6 linked regions of the Coturnix japonica genome follow. The protein of the gene in region 2 binds, or shares a complex with, the protein of the main gene of each other region. Links are inferred from orthologs where the notes say so. Each region holds a gene or a part of one and is shown on either strand. Other genes may lie near its edges.

Evidence for each region.
Region 1: PFDN2 (region 2) and PDRG1 share a complex: the UniProt entries of both Homo sapiens proteins name them as parts of the PAQosome complex. The link is inferred for Coturnix japonica from reciprocal best matches to the Homo sapiens genes PFDN2 and PDRG1.
Region 3: PFDN2 (region 2) and RUVBL1 share a complex: the UniProt entries of both Homo sapiens proteins name them as parts of the PAQosome complex. The link is inferred for Coturnix japonica from reciprocal best matches to the Homo sapiens genes PFDN2 and RUVBL1.
Region 4: PFDN2 (region 2) and POLR2E share a complex: the UniProt entries of both Homo sapiens proteins name them as parts of the PAQosome complex. The link is inferred for Coturnix japonica from reciprocal best matches to the Homo sapiens genes PFDN2 and POLR2E.
Region 5: PFDN2 (region 2) and WDR92 share a complex: the UniProt entries of both Homo sapiens proteins name them as parts of the PAQosome complex. The link is inferred for Coturnix japonica from reciprocal best matches to the Homo sapiens genes PFDN2 and DNAAF10.
Region 6: PFDN2 (region 2) and ASDURF share a complex: the UniProt entries of both Homo sapiens proteins name them as parts of the PAQosome complex. The link is inferred for Coturnix japonica from reciprocal best matches to the Homo sapiens genes PFDN2 and ASDURF.

Annotation. Positions count from the first base shown.
Region 1 is NC_029535.1:8,958,246-8,961,521, forward strand, and holds PDRG1 (p53 and DNA damage-regulated protein 1), read left to right. Parts: upstream 1-1,268; 5' UTR 1,269-1,342; coding exon 1,343-1,426; intron 1,427-1,501; coding exon 1,502-1,577; intron 1,578-1,654; coding exon 1,655-1,729; intron 1,730-1,893; coding exon 1,894-1,974; intron 1,975-2,365; coding exon 2,366-2,448; 3' UTR 2,449-2,776; downstream 2,777-3,276. UniProt on the Homo sapiens protein: May play a role in chaperone-mediated protein folding.
Region 2 is NC_029540.1:2,483,396-2,487,434, forward strand, and holds the start of PFDN2 (prefoldin subunit 2), read left to right. Parts: upstream 1-1,239; coding exon 1,240-1,311; intron 1,312-1,438; coding exon 1,439-1,500; intron 1,501-3,718; coding exon 3,719-3,842; intron 3,843-3,926; coding exon 3,927-4,039. UniProt on the Homo sapiens protein: Binds specifically to cytosolic chaperonin (c-CPN) and transfers target proteins to it. Binds to nascent polypeptide chain and promotes folding in an environment in which there are many competing pathways for nonnative proteins.
Region 3 is NC_029527.1:7,146,614-7,150,776, forward strand, and holds the start of RUVBL1 (ruvB-like 1), read left to right. Parts: upstream 1-1,363; 5' UTR 1,364-1,614; intron 1,615-2,458; 5' UTR 2,459-2,497; coding exon 2,498-2,545; intron 2,546-3,196; coding exon 3,197-3,329; intron 3,330-4,163. UniProt on the Homo sapiens protein: Possesses single-stranded DNA-stimulated ATPase and ATP-dependent DNA helicase (3' to 5') activity; hexamerization is thought to be critical for ATP hydrolysis and adjacent subunits in the ring-like structure contribute to the ATPase activity.
Region 4 is NC_029543.1:2,009,030-2,013,186, reverse strand, and holds the start of POLR2E (DNA-directed RNA polymerases I, II, and III subunit RPABC1), read left to right. Parts: upstream 1-1,357; 5' UTR 1,358-1,436; coding exon 1,437-1,493; intron 1,494-1,566; coding exon 1,567-1,741; intron 1,742-2,430; coding exon 2,431-2,546; intron 2,547-2,818; coding exon 2,819-2,899; intron 2,900-3,046; coding exon 3,047-3,105; intron 3,106-3,255; coding exon 3,256-3,334; exon of another isoform or gene 3,335-3,582; coding exon 3,583-3,648; 3' UTR 3,649-3,661; intron 3,662-3,938; 3' UTR 3,939-4,157. UniProt on the Homo sapiens protein: DNA-dependent RNA polymerase catalyzes the transcription of DNA into RNA using the four ribonucleoside triphosphates as substrates.
Region 5 is NC_029518.1:372,912-377,208, forward strand, and holds the start of WDR92 (WD repeat-containing protein 92), read left to right. Parts: upstream 1-1,497; 5' UTR 1,498-1,527; coding exon 1,528-1,716; intron 1,717-1,800; coding exon 1,801-1,901; intron 1,902-1,971; coding exon 1,972-2,102; intron 2,103-2,412; coding exon 2,413-2,514; intron 2,515-3,108; coding exon 3,109-3,224; intron 3,225-3,410; coding exon 3,411-3,545; intron 3,546-3,630; coding exon 3,631-3,728; intron 3,729-3,977; coding exon 3,978-4,185; 3' UTR 4,186-4,297. Other genes in the region: RNA-binding protein PNO1, read right to left, coding at 1-78, 369-429, 662-745, 1,037-1,186, 1,261-1,431. UniProt on the Homo sapiens protein: Key assembly factor specifically required for the stability of axonemal dynein heavy chains in cytoplasm.
Region 6 is NC_029522.1:4,422,936-4,427,196, forward strand, and holds the start of ASDURF (ASNSD1 upstream open reading frame protein), read right to left. Parts: upstream 2,801-4,261; 5' UTR 2,734-2,800; coding exon 2,671-2,733; intron 794-2,670; coding exon 740-793; intron 206-739; coding exon 130-205; intron 1-129.

The sequences.
Region 1 (3,276 bases), on a different chromosome or scaffold from region 2:
GCAGGCAGGCAGGGAGGGTTCTGAGCTGCATAAATGAAAGTGATTCAAGGAAGAAAGAAAAAGGAACGTGCTGAAACCCAGACCTTCCCTTTACGCCACAAAATACAGACAGATGCAAACCATCCCATAGCAGCGAGTGGATGACCACATGCTCTGTCTGCACAGACAGGTTCCCAGGAGGGCACATAAACATGCAATCAATCTGAACGAGCCTCCAGCCTTCAGGCTGAGTCCAGCTTCCAGGCAAGCAGCTTTCCTACGGCGCCGGGTCCAGGAGAAGGAAGGCTGTGATGATTTGCATCTGGCTCAGGGCCTGCTGTGGGAGAGGCCTGCAGAGCATGGCACCAGCAGCCATCGTTGCCTTGGGAATGTTTTCCAGGTGCCCAAAGCTTTGTGATGCCTCCTGCCACAGCTCAGCTGCAGCTCTCATGCAACCCTCTGTGTGGCCACGGTAAACCCACAGCCTTTATTTTGCTGTGAGCTGCTGAGTAGCACTGCCTGCTTCAGGGGTGGACATCAGGCTTCTCTCTGCTACTGCTATCACGTAGAATGTGATGGCTCGAGGTGGAAGGGACCTCAAGGATCATCGAGCTCCAAGTCCCCGCTAGGACGGGGTTGGATGCAGACGGGCAGTGCTCATTTCCACCACTTCACTGGGCACCTTCTTCTTTCAGCACACTCTGCCACAGACCGAGATCTCTCCCGTTAACTGTCACAAACGACTTTACGAGATTAAGGCCGGTAATCTTCCGATCTGCTTAATCTTCCTCTGGGGATTATTTGCGCACCAAGAGCTTCGCTCCTGGCAGCCACAGAACCACAGAACACCCCAGGATGGAAGCAATGACTGAACCCAACCCTCAGCTCCACCAGGGGAGCCCTGAAATCTCACCCCGTGTTTCAGAGCCGCCCCACAGCACTGCCCGGCCGATTCACATACAGAACCACAGAATGAGCCGGGTTGGAAGGGACCTCAAGGATCATGTAGTTCCAACCCCCCTGCCTGGCAGGGCCACCAAACATACACCTTTACTACATCAGGTTGCCCATGGCCCCGTCCAACCTGGCCTTGAACACCTCCAAGGACGGGGCATCCACAACCTCCCTGGGCAGCCTGTTCCAGGCCCTAACCACTCTCCTAGTGAAGAACTTCCCCCTAACATCCAACCTAAATCTTCCCTCTTTTAACTCAAAACCATTTCCCCGTGTCCTGCTATTGTCAGCAATTGACACTGCAATTCCCGCAGTGTCCACACGGGGGCGCTCTACGCGGAACTCCGGATCGCGGCCGCTGCTGCCGCCCGGCGGGGAGCGGGGATGGGACGGGGCGGAGCGGCCCGACATGGCGCGGGACCCAGCGTTTGTGCTGCGCTACCTGGCCGAGGTGGAGGAGCTGGCCGAGGACGTGCTGGCCGCACGGCAGCAGGTGAGACCCGACCCGGTTCGGCCCGACAACCCCCGACCCCCCCCTTTATCCCCATCCCCTCCCGTCTCTTTGCAGATCGTCGATCTGGACGTGAAGCGGAACCGGAACCGCGAGGCGCTGCGGGCGCTGCTTAAAGACCCGGAGCCGGACGGTGAGTCCCGGAGCTCGGCCGGGATCGGGGCGGTGTGTGCGGGGCACAGCGCTGAGCACGGCTGGTCCTCACTGCAGGGAAAGCCATGGTGTGCTTCGGGAGCACCTTCATCGAGCTGCACAAGGCCAAGGCCAAGGAGATGCTGCAGAGCGGTACGGAGGGATCTGCTCACCCCGAGGAGCTCGGAGCTAAAACAGAGCAATGCTGCCATCCTGCCCTGCTCACACAGCCCGGCAGGGTCTCTGTTGGTCCCTTGTTCAACCCCAGTCCCCATGTCATGGGTTAACCCCCCTTATTCTTGCCCTGCTATTTTCAGATCAGGAACAGCTGGATGAGGAGATAAACAACCTCCGGAAAGAGCTGCGTGTGAAGGTCAACCGTCTCTTTGAAGCTCAAGGTAAAACACTCCTGGTCTTGAACCCCAACAGCAAAGGTCTGGCTGCAGATGCTGGGGAGAAGTCAATGTGTGAGTGCTGCCGGGGCTGCTCCTCCTCTCACTCTGTCATTCCCTCCCTACCCTGGTAAAGCTGTCAGCCAGCAGCGTGCTGGATACACACAGCAACGACCAGGGTGGATAGTAGGAACAATTGGTTCTCCATCACCATCCCTGCAGGCATCCCAGCACCGCAGGGATGTGGCACTGAGGGATGTGGGCAGGGTTGGGTTTCATGATCTCAGGGCTCTTTTCCAACCTTCACGATGCTGAGAGCCATCATTGCTGCGTGGTTTCACATGGAATGCTTCATGTGTCTTATAGCAAAACCCCAACGTTCTGCACATCCCTACAGGTAAACCTGAGCTGAAGGGATTTAACCTGAACCCCATGAGTGCAGAGGAAATGAAACTGATCAATCGCATCCTGGAAGGTTGAGACAGCCCTGCCACCACCACAACCGTGTGCAAGCACTGCTCAGCCTGCGGTGGTCGGGTATCACTCACAGCATTTGCACTGCATCAGACACAGCCTGTAGGATTTCCAGCTCTCCTGCATTGCTGGAGCCTCTCCTAAAGAACCTGGTGGGCACAGGGAAGGATACAGCTCCTCAGCTGTAATTCTGGCTGTAAACTCTCCCCACTCCTTGCTGCCGGTGGCAGAGCAGTGCTGAGGCAACTGCTGGAACAGTGGCTTATTCACAGCCTCTGACAAACACCCGCCTGCAAGGGGGATTATTAAAACCAGCACTGTGGGGCATTCCTAACTCTGTGTGTGTGTGTTTGTTGTTGGGTTTGTTATGTGAGAGCTTCTGTAGTTTGGCTGCAGAGCGAGTTCACTGCAGTGTCAGGAACAGAAGTAGGAGGAATTGTAAATGTACAGCGTGCCCAGAGTATAGAAGAGCTGTGTGTGCCTGTGGTATTAAAATGAAATGAAACCCGTGCATCTGAAACACGTCAGGAATCTCCTGAGAGATGCGTAGGGAGGAACAGAAGGCAGCAGCGTGTTTGTCTCAATGGGAAAACACAGGCTGCTGTCAAGGTGGGAGCCAAGAGAATACAGAAAAATAAGGCTCTCAAAACAGGATGAAAGAATAAAATGGACACATATTAGCAAAAACTGCAGCTTGAACAGGCTGGATTTGGCCTGTAGCAATGGGATAACTGATTTAAGTCATAATAGTTTTGGCAGAGGTCATAAAATCAGCTCTGGCTCTCCAGGTAGCTCATCTGCTCTCCACTTCAGGCTTAAGTTAGAGATGCACAG
Region 2 (4,039 bases):
ATTGCCCTCAGAAACCCTCCATACTGCTTCTTCACAGGCTCTTGCCCTTAGAAAACGCCCTCCATTTCTGCCCCACATTGGCCCTTAGAACCCTCCATTCTGCCCCCAACAATTGCCCTCTTAGCAAAACTCATCCCATTCTGCCCCACAATTGCCCACTCTAGAACCCTCCAATTCCTCGCCCCACATTGCCCTTAGAACCCTCATTCTGCGCCTCACATCCTGCCTTAGAACACTCCCATTCGTGCCCCACATTGGCCCTTGACAACGCCTCTCATTCTGCCCCACATTGCCCTTGACAGACCTAGCAGTGACTGCCCTCACAATTGCCCCTTAGAACCCTCATACCGCCCCACATTGCCCCTTAGAACCGCCTCCATTCCTGCTCACATTGCCTTAGACCTCCATACTGCCCCACATTGCCCTTAGAACCCTCCATACTGCCCCACATTGCCCTTACAACCCTCCATACTGCCCCACATGCCCTTAGAACCCTCCATACTGCCCCACTTCCCTTAGAAACCCTCCATTTCTGCCCCCATTGCCCTAATGCCCGTCCATATCTGGCCCCACTATTGGCCCTTTAGAACCCTCCATACTGCCCCACATTGCCCATAGAACCCTCCATACTGCCCCACATTGCCCGCATAGAACCCCCATATACATGACCCTCACGATTGCCGCTACAAACTCCTCCCATAACTGCCCCGACATTGCCCTTAAACCCTCTCATACTGGCCACACATTGCCCTATGAACGCCCCCATACTGCTTCGCCATCGCCCCTAAACACCCTTCAAACAACCCCATAGAACCCCCAACACCCTTCAAACACCCCATAGAACCCCAACAACCTTCAAATCACCCCCCTATTATGATAACCTTCCAACTGCCCTTAAATGCCCACTTTGATTCTCTCTTCCCATTGCCCACAGGATTTCTCCAGAACCCTGTATCCCCCCCCGGCCCGTACAATATCGTTCTCGCGGCCCCGCACCGAGGCGGGAGGCGTGACAGATGAGGGGTCAATGGGCAAAGTCCCTGCCACAACAAGATGGCGGCCGGCACTACCTCACCATATAGCCACCGCTGCCGGGTTTTGAGCCATAACCAAGATGGCTTCCATGGTGTTTCCTGTATACACCGGAAGAGCTTTACTCGCTGTCGCTCTGCGCCGGAAGAGAGGCTGCCCAGTTTCCGGTGTGCGCCGGAAGAGACGCAAAAACGGTGGAGGGGGAAAATGGCGGAACAGCGCGAAAGGGGCGGCCCGGAGCAGCGGGGCCGGGCGGGAAGGCGCTGGACGGCGGAACAGGTGGCGGGGCGGGGTTTGGGGACGGACAGAGGGACGATCCCGGGATCCCAGCGGTGACATCCCCGGTGGTTGTGGTTGTGTGGTTGTTTGAGCAGGTGGTTGGCTCGTTCAAACCGGTTTACGACAGGAACAGCGGCGGCCTGGCGTCCCAACAGGCGGCGGAGCTGAGCTGGAGCTCAACGAACACGGGTGGGGGGGACATCGGGGGGTAACGGGACGGGGGGGGGGGGGGTGGGGCTGGGGTTAGGGGGATGGGAATGTGGGGTTATGGGATTATGGGGGGGTTGTGGGGATATGGGGTGTGGGGAATATGGGGTGGTGGATATAGGGGGGGCGTGGGGACACGCGGGAGGGGTGTAGGGGCATGGGGGGGGTACGGGATATGGGGGGGGGGTGTGGGGACATGGGAGGCGTGGTGGGGGAATATTGGGGGGGTGTGGAGATATGGGGGGTTGGGGGTCATGGGGGCGGTACGGGGATATGGGGGTGTATGGGATATGGGGGGGCGTGGGGGGTATGGGATATGGGGTATGGAGACTGGGGACATGGGGGGCTATAAGGGGGAACATGGGGGTAGGGAAATATGGGGGGTATGGGGACATGGGGTCATGGGGGGGTGTGGGACATGAGGGAGGTACATGTGTATGGGGGTGTAATGGGAGACATGGGGAGGGTGTGGGGATATGGGGGGGGTGTGGGGATATGAGGGGGGTACAGGGACATGGGGGGTATGGGGCTATGGGGAGGTGTGGGGACATGGAGGCATGTGGGGATGGGGGTGTGGAGATATGGGGGTAGGGGTTTACATGGGTAATGGAATATGGGGGGGGGTATGGAGACATGGGGTCCATGGGGGTGTGGGGACATTGGGGGGAGTAACGGTGATATGGGGGTGTATGGGGACATGGGAGGGGTTAATGGGGACATGGGAGGGGGGTGTACGGGGATATGGGTTATGGTGACATGGGGCCAGTAGGGGGGTTATGGGTCATGGGGGTGTGGGGGGAACAACTAGGGGAGGGTATTTGGGGTCATGGGGGGTGTGGGACATGGGAGGCTACAGGGATATGGGGGGGTATGGGGACATGGGAGGCTACAGGGATATGGGGGGGGGTACGGGGACATGGGGGTGTGGGGACGTGGGGGGTATGGGGATATGGGGGGTACGGGGAACATGGGAGAAGTATAACAAGAATGGGGGGTGCGTGGGGGATGTTGGCATTATGAGACATGGGAGGAGGTCATGCGGGGAATAGTAGGGGTGTGGGGACATGGGAGGGCATTGGGGACATGGGGTGTGTGTGGGGACATGGCGCGCGGTATGGGATATGGGGGGTAAGCGGGAGCTTGGGGGGATTGTGGGGACATGGGGGGTATGGGATATGGGGGGTGTGGGGACTTGGGGTTAGGGGGGCAATGGGGGGGGTACGGGGATATTGGGGGGGGGGTGTGGGGACAATGGGGGGGTATGGGGAACGGGGGGGGGTATGGGGACATGGGGTCTTTGGGTGGGGTAGCCGGGGACATGAGGGGTACGGGGATATGGGGGGGGGTGTGGGGACAGTGGAGTGGGGGACATGGGGTGTGGGGACAATGGGGCCCAGTTGTGGGGACATGGGGGGGTATGGGGACATGTTGGGGGTACGGGGATATGGGTAAGCAGTGGTTGGGGGCACCTGGGCAAATGGGTGAGGGGGGAAAAAAAAAGGGGGGGAAAAAAAAACGGGGGACGTTTATGGAATAGGGGCAAGCAAGGGAATGGGGGGGGGCACGGAGGACATTGGGTACCAAGGAGGGGTGGGCAGCAGAATGGGTTTGGGGGGATACTGAAGGGAATGGGAGGGTAATGGGGGTGTAAGGGCGTGGGCTGGGAGAAAGATGGGGGTTGGCAAAGGGATATGGAGGGGGGGTGGTAACAGTGAATGGGGGAGGCATTGGGATAGGGGGAACCAGCGGGGGTGTGGGTGTCAGTGGGATGGGTGTGTGAGGGACGTTGTAAGGGGGGGGGATGTGGGGGGATGGAAATGGGTGTGTGGAAGGTGGGGGGGGACAGTACGGGGGGGGGGGGACGCTGGGGTGTCACTGGGTGTGTGAGGGACACCAGGATGAGGAGACACTGATGTGTCGGGGCACGTTGGGGATATGAGGGGGGACAGTGAGGATGTGGGGGGGGGTCATCGAGTATGGGGGGGTGACTTGGGGAGGATGTGGAGGGCGTATTGGTTGGAGGATAGGAGCTGACACTGGGGTGTGGCGGGGCTTGCATGGGGGGGGGGGCCTCCCTGGATGGAGGAGGAAACATATGAGGAGTGGTGGGAGCGACGCTGTGATGAAACGAGGGATCTGGTTGAACGCTGGGAGCGCTGCAGGGTTGACGGGGGCTGACGGACCCCCCCCCCCCCAACAGCCTCGTGATTGAGACGCTGCGGGAGGTGGATCCCACACGGAAGTGTTACCGCATGGTGGGGGGCATCCTGGTGGAGCGCACTGTCAAGGAGGTGCTGCCCGCACTCGAGGGCAACCGAGAGCAGGTAACTCCAAACCCCCCCGGCACCCACAGACCCCTCCGCTCCCTCCCATAAAGCCCCTAAAGCCCCTCCTCTCTCTCCTCCCAGATCAGCAAAATCATCGAGTCGTTGAGCCAGCAGCTGCAGAGCAAAGGCCGCGAGCTGAACGAGTTCCGTGAGAAGCACAACATCCGCCTGGTGGGCGAGGATGACCCCCGGCA
Region 3 (4,163 bases), on a different chromosome or scaffold from region 2:
TCTTTCAGAGTAGATACAAGGAGAAATTTCTTCTCACTCACTGCCCAGGGAGAGGTACAGACACTATCCCTGGAGGCTGTTCCTTGACAGGCTGAGGGAGTTGGGTTTGTTCAGCCTAGAGAAGAGAAGGTTGCGGGGTGACCTCATTGCAGCCTTTCAATACCTGAAGGGAACTTACTCCCAGGAGGGGAGTAAACTCTTCGAAAGGGCTGATAATAGCAGGACACGGGGAAACGGTTTTAAGTTAAAAGAGGGAAGATTTAGATTGGATGTTAGGGGGAAGTTCTTTACTAGGAGAGTGGTTCGGCCCTGGAACAGGCTGCCCAGGGAGGTTGTGGATGCCCCGTCCTTGGAGGTGTTCAAGACCAGGTTGGACGGGGCCCTGGGCAACCTGATCGCCTAGTAAACGCGTTGGTGATCAGATTTGGTGGCCGCTTCAGCTCAGGCGAGGGGGGTTGGAACTACAATGAATCCTTAGAGGTCCCTCCAACCCGGCCGTCATTCTGTCGATTCTGAATTGACGCATACCCAGAACGCCGTGCGCCAGATGTGGTAACTGCAGGGATGGTGGCAATCAGGCCATAGTGCCATGGGTCCGTGGTTGGATATTACGATGAAACACTCATGGCAATCTTTCCAACCTTAACTAATTCCATGAGTCATCTCCTCGCCCAGAATCTACCAACAGAGAAGAACGCACTGGATGGCAGCCAGGCTCTGAAACGCCCTCTGAGATTTCACAGCATTTCCACCCCAAGCACTGATGGACCACATAAGAGGTGCAGTAACACTACAGCAGAGCCCACAGCCATGGTGGTGGGAGATCTGTTACATGAGGGAGCTCTGAGGGTGTGGAGATGAGACACGACCCCCCGAACAACTGTTTTCCCCCCTCAGTTTATCAGTACTCTCGACGTGGGGAGGAGCTGTCCGTCGCTATATTATACTGTTATAAAAAAGGCGAAGTTAAAGGCTCAGATATTGCCGTGGGCACGTAAAACGTAAATAACTGCTGGTTAAAAATTAACCAGCAGTGGTTAAATTAACACACTGGTAAAGGCAGGACGACAGCAAAGCCCACCCAAAGGCTCGGCCCCTGCTCGGTCCCGGCCCATCTCCCCACACCCACCCTCCCCCGCACCTCGCCGCCGCACGCCGGACCGCTTTGAGTCGAGAGCGCAGCCGACGGAATGCGGCGACAGACGGCCCACACACTCTCAAATATGTATCGCCAGGCCCGCCGCTGCAGCTCGTCCGGTGAACAGGTCACGCCTAACCGCAGACACCATCACAACAGCCGCGCGAGGCGCGGCAGACGCAGGGCCAATTGACGAGACGCGCGGGAGCGGGGGAGCCCGAGGAGGCCGCGCGCCGGCGTAGGCCTTGGTAACGCGCGGGCCGCGTGATGCGCGGGTGGACGTGAGGGAGAAGGGAGACCCGTGGCGCCGATGAAGATCGAGGAGGTGAACCGAGCAACCTGCGACAGACGCATCCGCGGCAATCCGCAGCACAACAGCCTGTTAACTGGGCCCTCCGGGGGCTGCGACGAGACGGCGGCACTCCGCCAAACCGGCGGGCCGCCGCGCCTGGTGCGGACAGGAGAACGCGCGGGAGGTGAGAGATGGGCCCCTGCACCTGGCGCACTGCTCGCGGGCTGGCACGGCCGCCGATCATAGAGCGCCAGGCCCGGGCTGTGAGATTCGCCCGTTACTACTCGCTGGATTGTCGGATAAACGATCTACAGGGTTTTAAGGCTCCACTTCAAAGATTGGTGCCCGTGAGGTGGTGCAGGGCCCAGCCAAGTCCGCCTGCTCCGCTCGCGACAGGCCGGGTGGGGGTTTGTCACAGAATGACCCGGGTTGGAAGGGACTGGACTCAAGGATCATGTTTCAACCCCCTGCCGTGGAAGGGCCACGCAAAATCATATATCACCTTTACTAGATCAGGTTGCCCCGCAACAGGTCCGCCGTCAGCAACGCTGGGTCACTTGACAAGCACCTCCAAGGTATGGGGCAGTCCACAACCTCCCTGGGCAGCCTGGTTTCGCAGGGCCCTAACCTGAACTCTCCTAGTGAAGAACTTCCCCCTAACATCCAACCTAAATCTTCCCTCTTTTAACTTCAAACCATTTCCCCGTGTCCTGCTATTATCAGCCCTTTCCAAGAGTTTACTCCCCTCTTGCTCTGTTTTTAGGCTTTGATACCTGCGTGCAGCTCTGCAAGGGGAAAAAGATCCCCAGCTCTTTGGTTTGAGTTCTGTTTGATTTATTTCTTTAATGTGCCAGATACAGGGACTGCAGGAAGTGATTTCTTTCTTACCTCACTCCTATGTATAACATTGAACTGCAGTTTAATTTTGGCACCTCAGAAGATCAGTAGTTCTAAACACTTCTAGTATCACTGGAATTAAATGTATTTTAACAGTACTCTTGTTAATGGTGCCAACCCTTATCCTGCAGGCTTGTGGGGTTATAGTAGAGCTCATCAAAAGCAAGAAGATGGCTGGCAGAGCTGTCCTGTTGGCAGGACCTCCTGGAACTGGCAAGGTATCCTGATATTTTTATTTTCCTTTTCTTGCAAGAAATAAAACCTTCTGAAATCCGCTGTAATTTAACGTGCTGCCACAAGCATTTTAGAATAGCGGTTATATATTGTCTTCATCTGCTGTTGTGTTTTTTTTCCTCCATTAAGGTATTGACACAGTCTCCTGTTTTGTGTTTAATTTTTGCCACGTCATTAGCACTGGCAGCATCCTCTGGTTTGTGCAGCCATCATTAGTGCGAAAGCACCTAATATAGGTTGCCAAACACAGAGGCAGGACAGTTTCTGATTAGTCTTATAAGTTAATTCGATATTAAAAGCCTAAATAGTTATTCTTTTTAGTTGTTTTTCCCTTTCCATCTCATTTCTATAAGATGTTAAATTCAGAAGTCCACTATCATTCCTTTACAGTGTTTATAAGTCATTGGTAGAAGTCACCTTATGCGTGTCTAATTTGTTTTGGTGGGAGATGTTTGTTATATGTGAGAGATGTCAGAGCAGTTATAATATAGTATATATATGTATATATATATATAATACTATAGTATAGTAGTAGTAGTTGATAGAGTGAAGGTGATACGATGAGGAAAGTTAACTTAGTGCAGAAAGAATCCTCATAAAAATGAAATGCTTAATTTCTTTTTCCATTTTTAAAGACTGCCTTGGCTTTAGCTATTGCTCAGGAACTTGGCAGTAAAGTTCCCTTTTGTCCTATGGTTGGAAGTGAGGTCTATTCTACTGAAATCAAGAAAACAGAAGTTCTGATGGAAAACTTCAGACGAGCAATTGGTAAGTTTCAGAAAAACAGAAACGTTTTTATGTGATACTTACATTGTTTTTTCTAGTGATCTGAAAAGGAAAAATCTTGGTGGTCACGGTGGTTTCCAGAACATGATGTGAACTTTTCTTCAATGCTGATCTTAAACTGGGGAATCTCTCCCACACTTAGTAGAGTCAGTAAGGTTTTCTGGATATAAATGCTTGTGTCCCACAGATATTTTTACTTACTCTCCTCCCCCAGGATCTCTTCTTGTCCTCCAGGTTCCACCTCCTGATGCCACCTGTGACACTCCAGAAATCTGAAAGAAAATCTGTTTTTAGTTTCTTACATTAGCAGAAATGCTTATAGACAGCAAAATGCTTTCCCTTGTACTTTAGTGATTCCACCTTGCTGAGCAAGCAGCCTTCTCGAGGGGTTCCCAAGTGGCAGCATTAGCCTGGCTCAGTGTTCCAGTGAGCACAGAGGAAGTTCCATGCCAGCAAAATAAATAATATCTTCAATATCTTCCTCAATTCTAGAGTGCTTTTACAAAGTCAACGTAAATTGGGTAAATTTGCAACGCGACCTCACTAAGTAGTTAAAATCTCTTTTATGATCTCTGCTGACAGCTGATAAATGCGGTTAAAATGGCCCTTGTTTGTGTAAGGATTGCCTAAAGATGACCTAACTGAAAAACTGAACTTATTAACAGTTAATTTCCCTGATTTCTCTGCCGTGTTTCCTCTCTGACTTCATCTGAGTATCTGGGGGTGGTGAAGAGGTCTCTCAGTTCTGCAACCAAGTAAAAGTATTCCATTCATTTTCATAAGAAAAACCTTCAGTAGTCTCTGGTCTAGTTACCA
Region 4 (4,157 bases), on a different chromosome or scaffold from region 2:
ACGTTCCCCGGCCTTTGGGCTGCTCCTTCATCCACTTCCACAGCGGGTGGGCGCCGTCCCCATTGACCTCAATTTTACTGAACATATCGAACTTCACCCCGTAACCCTCCGCAAAGGCTTTGATCTGTGCATCATCCCCAGGCTCCTGGGGGGGGGGAAAAACAGGTATCACACGTGTAAACCCCACACAACCCCATATCTTTGCATTGAGGTGCCCACCTGCTTCCCAAACTGGTTACATGGGAAGGCCAATATGCGCAGCCCTTTCTCAGCGTATCGTGCGTGCAGGTCGACAAGCTGAGTGTAATTCACTGCAGTCTTTCCTCATTTGGAAGCCACGTTGGTGATGATGCAGACGAAACCCCTGGAGGGGTAAAATAGGGGGTAAAAGGAACCTCTGTGGGGGTAAATGGGGTAAAATAGGGGGTAAAAGGAACCTCTGTGGGGGTAAATGGGGTAAAATAGGGGGTAAAAGAAACCTCTGTGGGGGTAAATGGGGTAGAATAGGGGGTAAAAGGAACCTCTGTGGGGGTAAATGGGGTAAAAGGAATCTCTGTGGGGGTAATATGGGGAAAATAGGGGGTAAAGGGGGTGAAATAGGGGGTAAAAGGAACCTCTGTGGGGGTAAAAGGGGTAATATGGGGTAAAATATGGGGTAATATGGGGTAAAATAGGGGGTAAAAGGGGTGAAATAGGGGGTAAAAATGGGGTAAAATGGGGTAAAATAGGGGGTAAAAGGAACCTCTGCGGGGGTAAAATGGGGGGGGGGGTATATAATACAGCCCATTGCTGTGTTGCTGTATGGTACATATAATGTCTCTATAATGTCTATATAATGTCTATATAATATATATATCTAATAGACCTGTATTGCTCCAAGGCCACGTCTCGGCCGTCGATATCCGTGGCGTGGAAGTCATAGATGGAGGTGGCCGATCGCCATTCATCCGCCTGCGCGCACTGCGGGGCCCAGCGGTCACAAAGCGGCTCCGAACCCCCCCAACCCCCCCAGTACCGACCCGGTTCGGTTCGGTTCGGTTCTGTTCTGTCCCCCCCCACTCACCATTGTCCGCCCCGCTCCTCTCGCCGCCGCCGCCCCGCACAGCAGCGCCCGCCCGCAACGCCACCCCCACCCCATCCCGCCACCGCTCTCCCCCCCTTTGACCAATCAGCGATTAGGACGCGCGAAGGCACCGCCCACTTCTTGCAGTTGCGCAATGCGAGCCGCTCCCTTGGGTGATAGACAGGCGAAACCACCAATCAAATCAGCGAGGCTGCTGCAGTGTCAACAAGGGGGTGGTGTCCTTCCGCCATTCCACCCCGCCTACATCTCCCAGCGTTCCCCGCGGTCAAGGACCCCTCGCAGGGCAGCCCCGCCTGCTCGTTGTGGACAGGCATTGAGGCGGGCAGCCTCGTGGGGTCCTTCAGGAGGCAACATGGACGACGAGGAGGAGACGTACCGGCTGTGGAAGATCCGCAAGACCATCATGCAGGTGCGGGCCGGCCCGGTTCGGTTCGGTTCGATTCGGTCCGGTTTCAGGTCTCATATGTTGTATTTCCCTTTAGCTGTGCCATGACCGCGGTTACCTGGTGACTCAGGACGAGTTGGATCAGACGTTGGAGGAGTTTAAAGCTCAGTTCGGGGATAAACCCAGCGAAGGCCGCCCGCGCCGAACGGACCTGACCGTGTTGGTGGCACATAACGATGATCCCACGGACCAGATGTTCGTGTTCTTCCCCGGTGAGAAACGGGGCCGGGTCGGAACCGGGTCAGAAACGGGCTGGGACCGGGTTGGGACTGGGTTAGAACTGGGTTAGGACCAGGTTAGGACCGGGTTGGGACTGGGCTGGGTCTGGGTTAGAACCGGGCTGGGACCGGGTTTGGACCAGGTTGGGACCAGCTTAGAACCGGGCTGGAACCAGGTTAGAACTGGGTTGGGACTGGGCTGGGACCGGCTTAGAACCAGGTTGGAACCGGGTTAGGATCAGGTTAGAATTGGGTTAGAACCGGGCTGGGACCGGGTCAGAACGAGGTTGGGACCGGGTTAGGACTGGGTTAGAACTGGGCTGGGACCGCGTTAGGACCAGGTAGGGACCGGGTTAGAACCGGGCTGGGACCGGGTTAGAACTGGGTTAGAACCAGGTTAGGACCGGGCTGGGACCGGGTTAGAACCGGGTTGGGACTGGGTTAGAACCGGGCTGGGACCAGGTTTGGACCAGGTTGGGACCAGCTTAGAACCGGGCTGGGACCGGGTTAGGACCGGGCTGGAACCGGGTTAGAACTGGGTTGGGACTGGGCTGGGACTGGCTTAGAACCGAGCTGGGACCGGGTTAGTACTGGGCTGGGACCAGGTTAGAACTGGGCTGGGGTCAGGTTGGGGTCTGGTGGTGCTCCTGGTTCAATCTCACCCTGCTCTTTTCCTCCCTCAGAGGAACCCAAAGTCGGCATTAAAACCATCAAGATGTATTGCCAGCGCATGCAGGAGGAGAACATCACGCGGGCTCTGATCGTGGTGCAGCAGGGAATGACCCCATCGGCAAAGCAGGTACAGTGTGATGTGGCCCCGGGGCTCTTTGAGCTGTGCTGGGTCCATAAAGGCAGAGTTCAGGCTCTGTGCCTTAATACTGGGCTTATACATTGAGTGCACTGAGCTGGTGCTGGTTGGGCACAGAGATCTGTTTCCTCTCTGCCCATATGACCATATCAATGTGAGCACAGACACCGTGTTGCCCTCCTGCTGCTGTTCATCTTGGGGCATCTCTGAGCTCACACTGTCTCATATCAGTGCTACAACCTGATGTGCTTCTCCCTTCCCAGTCCTTGGTCGATATGGCTCCCAAATACATCCTGGAGCAGTTCTTACAGCAGGAGCTCCTGATCAACATCACAGAACACGAGGTGAGTGATTCAGGCCGGCCCTCCCAGCCCTGCCCTGTGCTGGGTTTCCCCACCAGAGCTTTGTTCCTCCCCCCAAGTCTTGCAGCTATGCAGAGCTGGTTGCTTTCTCAGACTCTTATGATCTCTCTTTCTCTCTCCTGTTTACAGCTGGTCCCAGAGCACGTTGTCATGACAAAAGAAGAAGTAACCGAGCTGCTGGCCAGATAGTATCCTTTGTTTGGTCCTTCCCTTGCAGTCAGGGTGTGATGAGTGCTTGTCTTGGGCAAGAAATGGATTCCTTTGAGTGTGTGATGTTCTGTTAGCTGTGCCCTGCCTCAGGACAAGCAGACACAGAGCTCCTCCTTGACTCCATGCAGTAAGCTGAGGGAGAACCAACTCCCCAGGATCCAGGCTGGGGATCCTGTGGCCCGATACTTCGGGATAAAGCGAGGCCAGGTAAGAGCAAATAGCCTGATAACAAACAGCAGGGCCCTGCAGGCAGGATGGGGAGCTGCAGCACAGTGTGTCAGAGCTTGGAGATGGGAAAGGTTTCCTCTTTGTTAGTGTTTTTGTTTCTGAACGTTATGGGTTATGTAGAGATGTGTGCAAGGCAGCAGATAGCCCTGGGGCCAGGCTTGGCTTCCTGCTGAACCAGCTGCTGTAACACCAGCCATCCCCCATTGCTCCTTTTGCTGCCCTTCCAGGTGGTGAAGATCATAAGACCGAGTGAGACCGCAGGCCGTTACATCACCTACAGGCTGGTGCAGTGATCAGAGCTCTCAGGTAATGTGTGAGATCCCCATCTACGGGCAGTGCTTTAAACTTATGCTGTGGTTTTCTAGGGGTGACTTGAAGTGAGTTGGCTCTGGGAAAGGATTCCCTCCTGATTTGCGAAGGGAACTGTATGGGATGGATCAGAGCAAAGCTATACTAGGGTTTGGTGCCTCAGTATCACAGCTGAAGGCACATCTCAATGTTCAGAGCAGCAGCAGGGCTTTGCTTTGAGAGCAGCTGCTGAGGGAGACATGAGCTCATTCACGTCCTGACTTATTTCTTCCAGTTGTGAAAGAATTCTGTGACATCTGATCTTCCCACCCACCACCAGCTCTCAGCTGTCTGCATTCGATGGCTGAGGAAGTTCTCTGTCCCTGCTGCCCCCCTGCAGTTGTTTTCCTTGTCCCAGTTCCTCATTTCCCAGCACGGATTTTGCTGCAAATCCTTCTGCTTCAATCAGGAACGCCATGAAAACACCTCGAAGCAACTGAATGACACAGGGAAG
Region 5 (4,297 bases), on a different chromosome or scaffold from region 2:
TAGTGAATTTGGTTTTTCCACCTTTCCCCGCTATTCTCCCTATTGCTCTGGACAGGTGATCTCCCTTCAAAGGTTTGACTAAAACAAGAACAAAGTACTCAATCAATTACGCTGTGCTGCGTATCCTCCGTGACATTTCCTCTATTCAAACAAAGGGAAAAGCAGCAATTAACACATGTTGAAACACATCAGTTTTAGATGCTGCTCTCCTTGTGTCCAGCTCCAGGTTCTCCCCATAGACAGTTATGCCATGTATTGGCATCGGGGTTTTCCTGATCCCCAAAGTGACACACGTGGAAAAGAAGGAAAGAGCAAAGAAGTGCTCAGAAGTGAATGGCTGCTTGAGTAGCACAGCAGAAACTACTCACCATCCGTAACTTCAAATGATTCCAGGAAGAGATCATCTAATCTGATGAGAGCGAGAGCGTCCTGCAACATTCAGAGTCACCATCAGCCTGAGCACTGCAGCACTGTCACACACAAGTTCTTTACAGGCCCAAACAGATCAAATCAGTCACGTATCTCCATTTGACGCATCAAACATCAGTTTTAACTTCAAACATTAAAGAAAACCACCCTGAAGTTTTCTGTTTCTTGATGTCATGTCCAGAGTGCTTGAAGATATTGAGCAATAGCACAACCCGGCCGCTGGGAGACTCACCTCCACCTGGAAGCCGAGTATGAAGGCTTTGACAAAGTCAGCTGCTTTGGTCAGAGCACTGAGGTCTTTGGTCTCAGCACAGGTCTGCAGAACGAGAAGATACGTTTCTATGTTATCAGGCAAACGGAATCAGGACTTGGAAAGTCAGTGAGATAAAGGCTGGCTGTATAAAAGAAAGCCAAAGCCACGTTCGTGTAATGCCACCTCCGCATTGTGTTCTACTGAAAGCGCAGACCAGTAGTGTATGTTGTGCTTAAGACAACAGGCTGCCCAGAGAGCTGTGGGTGCCTTGGAGGTGCCCAAGGCCCGGTTGGGCGGGTTTCAATGAAACACGAGGGATGAGAGGAACGTGAGGACACACAGCACAGCGCTCACCTTGATCTCCACGTTCCTGGTCTTTAAGTTAAACCTGATCTGGAGCTGCAGGTGCTCCACGATGGGCGTGAATATCTTCATCCAGTTCTCCTTCAGCGGCGTGTACCTGTTGGCCGGTACCGGCACCTTCCTCACCTCCCCTTTCCCCACCTGCGGACAGATGGGCGCTGAGCGGACACGTGCAGCCCGTCCGCCCCATCCCTCCGCCTCGGCGCCGCGCTCACCCCCATGGCCGCGGCGGGCAGCGGTGGGAAGGCGGGTCTCTTGCTGGGCTGCGGCCCCGCCGCATCCACCGCCTCCATCGGCTCCGCAGCCGCCGCTCTCCGCTTCCTCCTGCCGCGCTTGGAAGCCACGCTGGTGAAGCCGCTCCCGTTCTCATCCGCTTCAGACTCCATAGCGTGGCCCTCCGCCGGAAAAGCCACCGCCACTTCCTGCCCGTCCCGCCGTCCCTTCCGCTTCCTGCGTTATCCGCGTCGCTGCCGTCGCTCGTTATGTCGGCGGCGGGGCTGGACCGGCCGCAGGTGGTGGTTCACGTGCAGCAGCCGCTGACTTACACCGTGTTCGACTGCAAGTGGGTGCCGCGCAGCGCCCGCCTGCTGTGCCTCGGCAGCGCCCCGCGAGGCACCGGCCTCATCCAGCTGTACGAGCTGCGAGCCGGGCGGCTGCTGCTGCTGAGCGAGGTGAGCGGGGCGATGCGGGGCGGCACCTCGTAGGCCGAGGGGTTTAACGCTTCATACGGTGCCGACCGTGTCCTTTATCTGCAGATCGAAAAGGCCAAACCGATAAAATGTGCCACCTTCGGGGCAGCCTCCCTGCAGCAACGGCACCTGGCGACAGGGGACTTCGCGGGATGCCTCAGCATCTGGTGGGTGTGTGATTCCTTACAGCGCTCCTGGCTACTGAAGGCAACGCTGTGTTATCTGTTTCTCACATAGGAACTTAGAAGCTCCTGAAGTCCCCGTGTACTCCGTGAAAGGTCACAAGGAAATCATTAACTGCATCGATGGGGTCGGAGGCCTCGGAATTGGGGAAGGTGCCCCAGAAATTGTGACAGGCAGCCGGGATGGTGAGTGGGAGAGAGCTGAGCTGCTCAGTGACATCCCTGAACTACAGGCTGTGGGCACCGAAATGGAGGGCGGCCCTTTGGGATGAGCCTCCTCTGCTTCCTTTGGGAGCTGGAGAGGAGGAACATAAAGCAGAACAAATACAAAATAGCAGCTAGACATCTTATACTTTCCCTGTGCTTTTCTGTTTGTATTATGTTTCATTTCTTCCTATACACTGACATAGTCTGGAGGCGTCAGGCTGCCTTTCCCTGGGAAACCAAGAGTGGTGCATCAGTGCATCTGTAACACTGATGGCTTTGCTTTCCTTAGGAACTGTGAAGGTGTGGGACCCTCGGCAGAAGGAAACTCCTGTTGCCAACATGGAACCTGCGCAGGGAGAGAGCAAGAGGGACTGCTGGACGGTGGCCTTTGGTAACCAGTCTGATAACAGCCCCCTGTAATGTCACTGCGTGTTGACAGTAATCAAACCACTGAAGGCAGGGTTTGTTGTTCGGTGTTATCACATCTGTGTCTTTGCACTGTGTTTTAAAGGCTGTCTTTCCATCACGTTTGGTGGTAGTTGGCTCAGGCATTGTTTTCTTACCATCTCTGCTCAATCACTTCACAGACAAGCTTTATTCTTAGGCATTTTTACAGCCCTAGTGTGGGAATTGAACATTTCTATGTCTAGGAATGTAAAAGCAAAGAAACCACTTTGCCCTGGAGGGGTCTAACTGTGATTGTGCATGGAGAACCAATATCTGCTGATGACATTAAGACATTAATGTAAGAGACAATCCCCAGAGCTAACGAAAGACAGCAGAGATGCTTAACTTGTGCTCTTGAATTCAGGATGCTTGAGCCCAGGCCATGTCCATCCCAAACTCTGTGCTCTCAATTCATTAAATCCTACTATATGATGCTTTGCTGGCATAAATCTAAGTTGAAATTGCTGACTTAAGAGGTCTCAAATTTACAGCCTAAGAGGGGTTTCTGTGTTGTGATCAATTCTGTCTCTGTGTCCAGGCAATGCTTACAATCAAGAGGAACGTGTAGTATGTGCTGGATACGACAATGGGGACATTAAGTTGTTTGACTTAAAAGCCATGTCACTGCGATGGGAGACCAACATTAAGAACGGGGTAAGGTGCTGTGGAAGCAGGGCTTCATTCCAGCTGTGGTGTGTGTCTGTTTACAGGCAATCGCGTTATTGCCGAGTTGGTGAAGCTGTTGTAAGAATAACCAATGATTAGATACGTGTCTGCAAATCACACTCACAAATATATGCTTGTAGCAGTGGCTGAACGTATTGGTTTCACTCTTTGCAGGTTTGCAGTGTGGAGTTTGACAGGAAAGATGTGAACATGAACAAGCTGGTGGCCACGTCACTGGAGGGAAAATTCCATGTCTTCGATATGAGGACTCAGCACCCAACTAAAGGTTTTGCTTCTGTTTCAGAGAAGGTAATGGGGAGATGGATCATTCCTTTAGCAACATGTAGTACAGGAGTTTGTACAGAACTTTTGTCCAATGCTGGTTGTTTCCTAGGCACACAAATCCACCATCTGGCAGGTTCGGCACCTCCCGCAGAACAGGGATGTGTTTATGACGAGCGGAGGAGCTGGGAGCCTTCATCTCTGGAAATAGTAAGTGATCACTGTCTGCTCTATAACAGGGGAATAAGGAACCAAAACAACTGTTTATTGTTTAAAGAAAGAATCATTGTAAAGATGGTGCGTGGGGACTCACTTCCAAGCTCAGATATGATGGATATGATGGCTCGCTATTTTGAAGACATTTGTCTTATCTTGAGAACAGAGGAGACCTTTCTGTGCTGTCTTTTAAGAGCAGGATGAGATTCCTGTTTGTCTCAGTTTTCCTTTCCTTTCTGCCAGCGAGTACCCGGCTCAGCGCTCAAAGAAGGACTCGGAAGGAGCTGAGATGGGGGTGGCAGGTTCTGTCAGCCTCTTGCAGAACGTGACTCTGTCAACACAGCCCATTTCCAGCCTGGACTGGAGCCCCGACAAAAAGGGGCTGTGTGTTTGTGGTGCCTTTGACCAAACTGTGAGGGTACTGATAGTTACTAAGCTTAACAAAGTGTGACAGGAAAACTGGGATTGCTGATGAGAAAGCAATACAGTTTGACGTCTGTACATACGGGAGGGAGGGACCTATTGTCTTTAATCTAATTTCTCCCTTTTTAGAACTGGATTAA
Region 6 (4,261 bases), on a different chromosome or scaffold from region 2:
ACTGAAGTCCACTTGGTATTTAACATGCAGTTGCCAGCTTTCCCACTGTACTACAACTTGGAAATCTTCAACAGCTACAGAGACAGCTTTTAAACAGTTGAACTATTACCTTTGGTGCAGCAAACTTACTTTTGCATTGAGACAGTGTTTCTGTTCGGTCTACAAGGAAGAATATGTTGCTATTGGGTTGCTGCCTATAAACTTTCTGTAAAATAAATACAACACCACATTAAGTAAAAGTAGCATACACAGGCAACCACACTGCAGCAGAAACTCACTGAAGTCCACTGAGATACCCTTCCCTTTTATGTCTGAAAGATACCTTCTCTGCCATGAGCAATGTCCTCATGTCGCACCAAAACATTTCAGGAACAACCCACAACCATTCTGCATTTTCCTCCTTTCCTCATACTTAAAGGGTCATATTTTGTTTTACATCATATGCACATGAAAAATAAAGAAGCTTTTAACATAAACTGATCCACTCAAACATCATAATATAAAAATTGTGCTAAAGTAAAACCTTGAGACAGCTTCCTGTTACAATGCACAAGTGTAAGTAAACCCTCAAGCGATGTAGACAACATTTTGACACCATACAGAAGATCATATACACATTAAAATCTTTAGTGTAACAACTAAAGATAATGTACTCACTGCAATTTTGTTTGCCCTCTTGCCTCTATACAAATTTATCTGATGCTAAAATGAAGTAAGCAGAAAAAACTTTAATGCTTACCCTGTTCTTCTTCAAATTCGAAAGCTCATCAACTACAACCTTCTGTTCCTTAATCTGAAAGAGAAAAAACACATCTCAATATAATTGTCAACAATAAACTACTGTGTTGCAGTCCTGGAGATTAAAATCTTTACCCATGTTTTTAAGACAGCTATAAAAATATAAGTCACTGTGCCCTGAACAGACCACTAAAATGAAAGTGGACACAGGAATGAAAAAGAAATTTCATTACCCATTATTCCAAGCATACAACAAGTCTTCGGACCACATAACTGAATTACATTTAACACACTTCTTATTGAAATCTAAGTTATGAATTCAACAATAAGACAATGAAGCACTCTAAATAACTGCTTTGGAAGGGAATTATCTTGCATGGTTGACACTGTTCCCATCCCCCCAAAGCAGTCATTACTGGGAAGCCAGAGTACTCCTCGCTGCTCAGAATCCAAAATCACTTCACCCTCAACCTCCCCCAAAAAAACAAACGTATAAACAACTATTAACATTTGTCAGCCTGGAGAAGAGGAGGCTCAGGGGAGACCTTATAGCTCTCTATAACTTCCTGAAGGGAGGTTGTAGTGAGCTGGGGGTTGGCCTCTTCTCTCATGTAAGAGATGACAGAACTAGAGGGAATGGTTTTAAGCTGTGCCAGGGGAGATTCAGGCTGAACATTAGGAAGTATTACTTCTCAGAAAGGGTAGTCAGGCATTGGAATGCACTGCCCAGGGAGGTGGTGGAGTCACCGACCATGGGAGTGTTCAAGAAACGTCTGGATGTTGTGTTGATGAATATGATTTAGCTGGGAAGTATTGGTAACGGTTGGACTAGATGATCTTCTAGGTCTTTTCCAACCTTGATAATTCTGTGATTACGCAACTTAGAGAAAAGATTTACCTACACAATACACTTTATAATCTTATTCTCCAGATTCAAAATGAAAACAGTAAATGAAACAATTAAAAACCTACATAACCAATAACCCCCCCCCCCCCCCCCAAATAAATAAATATGTATAAAACAACCCCAAAACTGTATTAAGATAATTAGAAACACTTCCAGTACACTGGACTTTTAGCACAAAGTTGTCATGCTGCATCTACCGCCATCAGTTCAGCTGCACTGACACAAACAGTCCAATGCTCCTGCTTCCCTGGACAACGTCAGCCACTAAAGACAAAGAGCCATTAAAGACAAAGAGCAATCAGGGCCCATCAAAAAAGCTGAAACACAAAGCTAAAGTGGTTCAACACACACTACTTTCTGTAAGCACAGAACACACCTTACTCCGGTCCTCCTTTCTGCCTCCTGGAATTGGCGCAGATGGAAATAACTACAGGGCTGTATAAGGCAAACTGAACTGAGAAAATGCTGTTTCACCAACAGCTACAACAGCATACTATGATAGTTATTGAAACAGACAAGAACACAGTGCAGTCTTGTGATGCAAAGCAGAACCAGGCATTTCAGCCACGCAGCTAATACGCTGTGTTGTGCTGATGCAGTTGCTCTCTTTAGTCTCTTATGTAACCAATCAACTAGAGAACAACACTAATCTATTGCGATATTAGTGTAGAAGAATAAAGTCACTTTTTATGCGAGGACAACTGACCAGGACTGTACAGAACTCACACTGAACAAAGACAAGACTGCCACTACGAAAAGCCCAGCTTTAAAGCTGGCCTCCTCACTAAACTCCCTCACGACTTGCTCAACAAACCCAGAGAACCACATTCTCCTTCGACTAATCACACACAGCCCATCTCACAACACTAAAAACGGGAAGGGAACTCGCCAGAAGGGCTCACAACACTCGAGCTCCCCCACACCTTCACCTGGGCCACAGCGCAGCTCAGCCTCCAGCACACCCTCCTCCTTCCCACACACAACTATGAGACGCAGGGCAGCACCTCAGACCCTCCATAACTCACCCTCCGGCTCAGCTCCTCCTTACGGCCCAGCTCGGCGCTCTCCTCCTCCTCCCGCCGCGACATCCCCAGCTCGCAGTGCCGGCCGCTGCCGTCGCACAGCAATATACGCACAACGGCTGCGCCTCACGCTGTGGGCTCCAAACAACTGCAGCGACTGCGCATGCGTACAGCAGAGCGGCTGTTAGGCGCGTATGGCTGAGGTGGAGTTATGGCCGTAGTGGCTGTGGAGCAATGAGACCATTTTCCTTCAGTACCGGCTGCCTTGTTGTCGGATCTTTGATAGTATTTTGATTCATGGAGACATTTCCCGTTAGTCCCCTGCTTGAGCTCTACTCATCTGTTGTGCTGTGTCCAGGTGTGGAGCCCTCAGTACAAAAAAGACATGGAGATTTTGGAAAGGGTCCAGAGGAGGGACAGGAAGATGATCAGGGGGCTGGAGCACCTCCCCTATGAGGACAGGCTGAGGGAGTTGGGTTTGTTCAGCCTGGAGAAGAGAAGGTTGCGGGGTGACCTCATTGCAGCCTTTCAGTACCTGAAGGGAACTTACTGCCAGGAGGGGAGTAAACTCTTCGAAAGGGCTGATAATAGCAGGACACGGGGAAATGGTTTTAAGTTAAAAGAGGGAAGATTTAGGTTGGATGTTAGGGGGAAGTTCTTCACTAGGAGAGTGGTTAGGCCCTGGAACAGGTTGCCCAGGGAGGTTGTGGATGCCCCGTCCTTGGAGGTGTTCAAGGCCAGGTTGGACGGGGCCCTGGGCAACCTGATCTAGTAAAGGTGTATGTTTGGTGGCCCTGCCAGGCAGGGGGGTTGGAACTACATGATCCTTGAGGTCCCTTCCAACCCGGGTCATTCTATGATTCTGTTGGAACCTTCATTATCTGTCTTGCTACATTAACCAAAGATGATAAGTGAATGCTTCATCCTTCTGTGCCATCTTCCAAGTAGTAGTAGTGCTTTAGCTTAGGATGCAAGTAGCAGTGTGTCTTCTTGGTGTGGAAACAGAATCAATGAGATGAGACGGCTCAACCTGGCTGTTCCAAAATACACTTAAACAGTAGGACTAAAAGAGTACGACACATCGTGTGAGACAGTGCTGACATTATGAGTAGAACAGAAATGCTGCACGTCCAGCCTGTGTAGCCCTCAGTGAAGGAAGGAGACTGCTGTAAATCCACTGTGTGGAAAGGCATGGAGAGCGTCTGGACGGGCTGATACACGGCAAGGTCCAACTTGCTATTTCTTCATGTGCAAGTGAAATTGGTAAGTGTACAGTAAGAGCTTGAGATGCTATGAAAGGTTGTAGCAGATGGAAGTGTAAGAGATATCTGACATAGGAAATGCCATATGGATGGTGTGGCAGGACTTAAGAATACAGAAGTGTCTTGTGTTCATAAAAATCTTTTATTTTTATTTTTATTTTTCCTGATTGTATTCTTTATAACCAAAAACCAGTTAGGTAAGTTCATTGTTCTGAACATGTATAAAGTAAAACTGTATAATCAGTGATAGTGAAGACCTGATTCTGACCTCAGTTCACACTTTGCTGACAGGAAAGAAGCTCCTAAATTAGTAGTGCTGGGGTTGCTGTAGT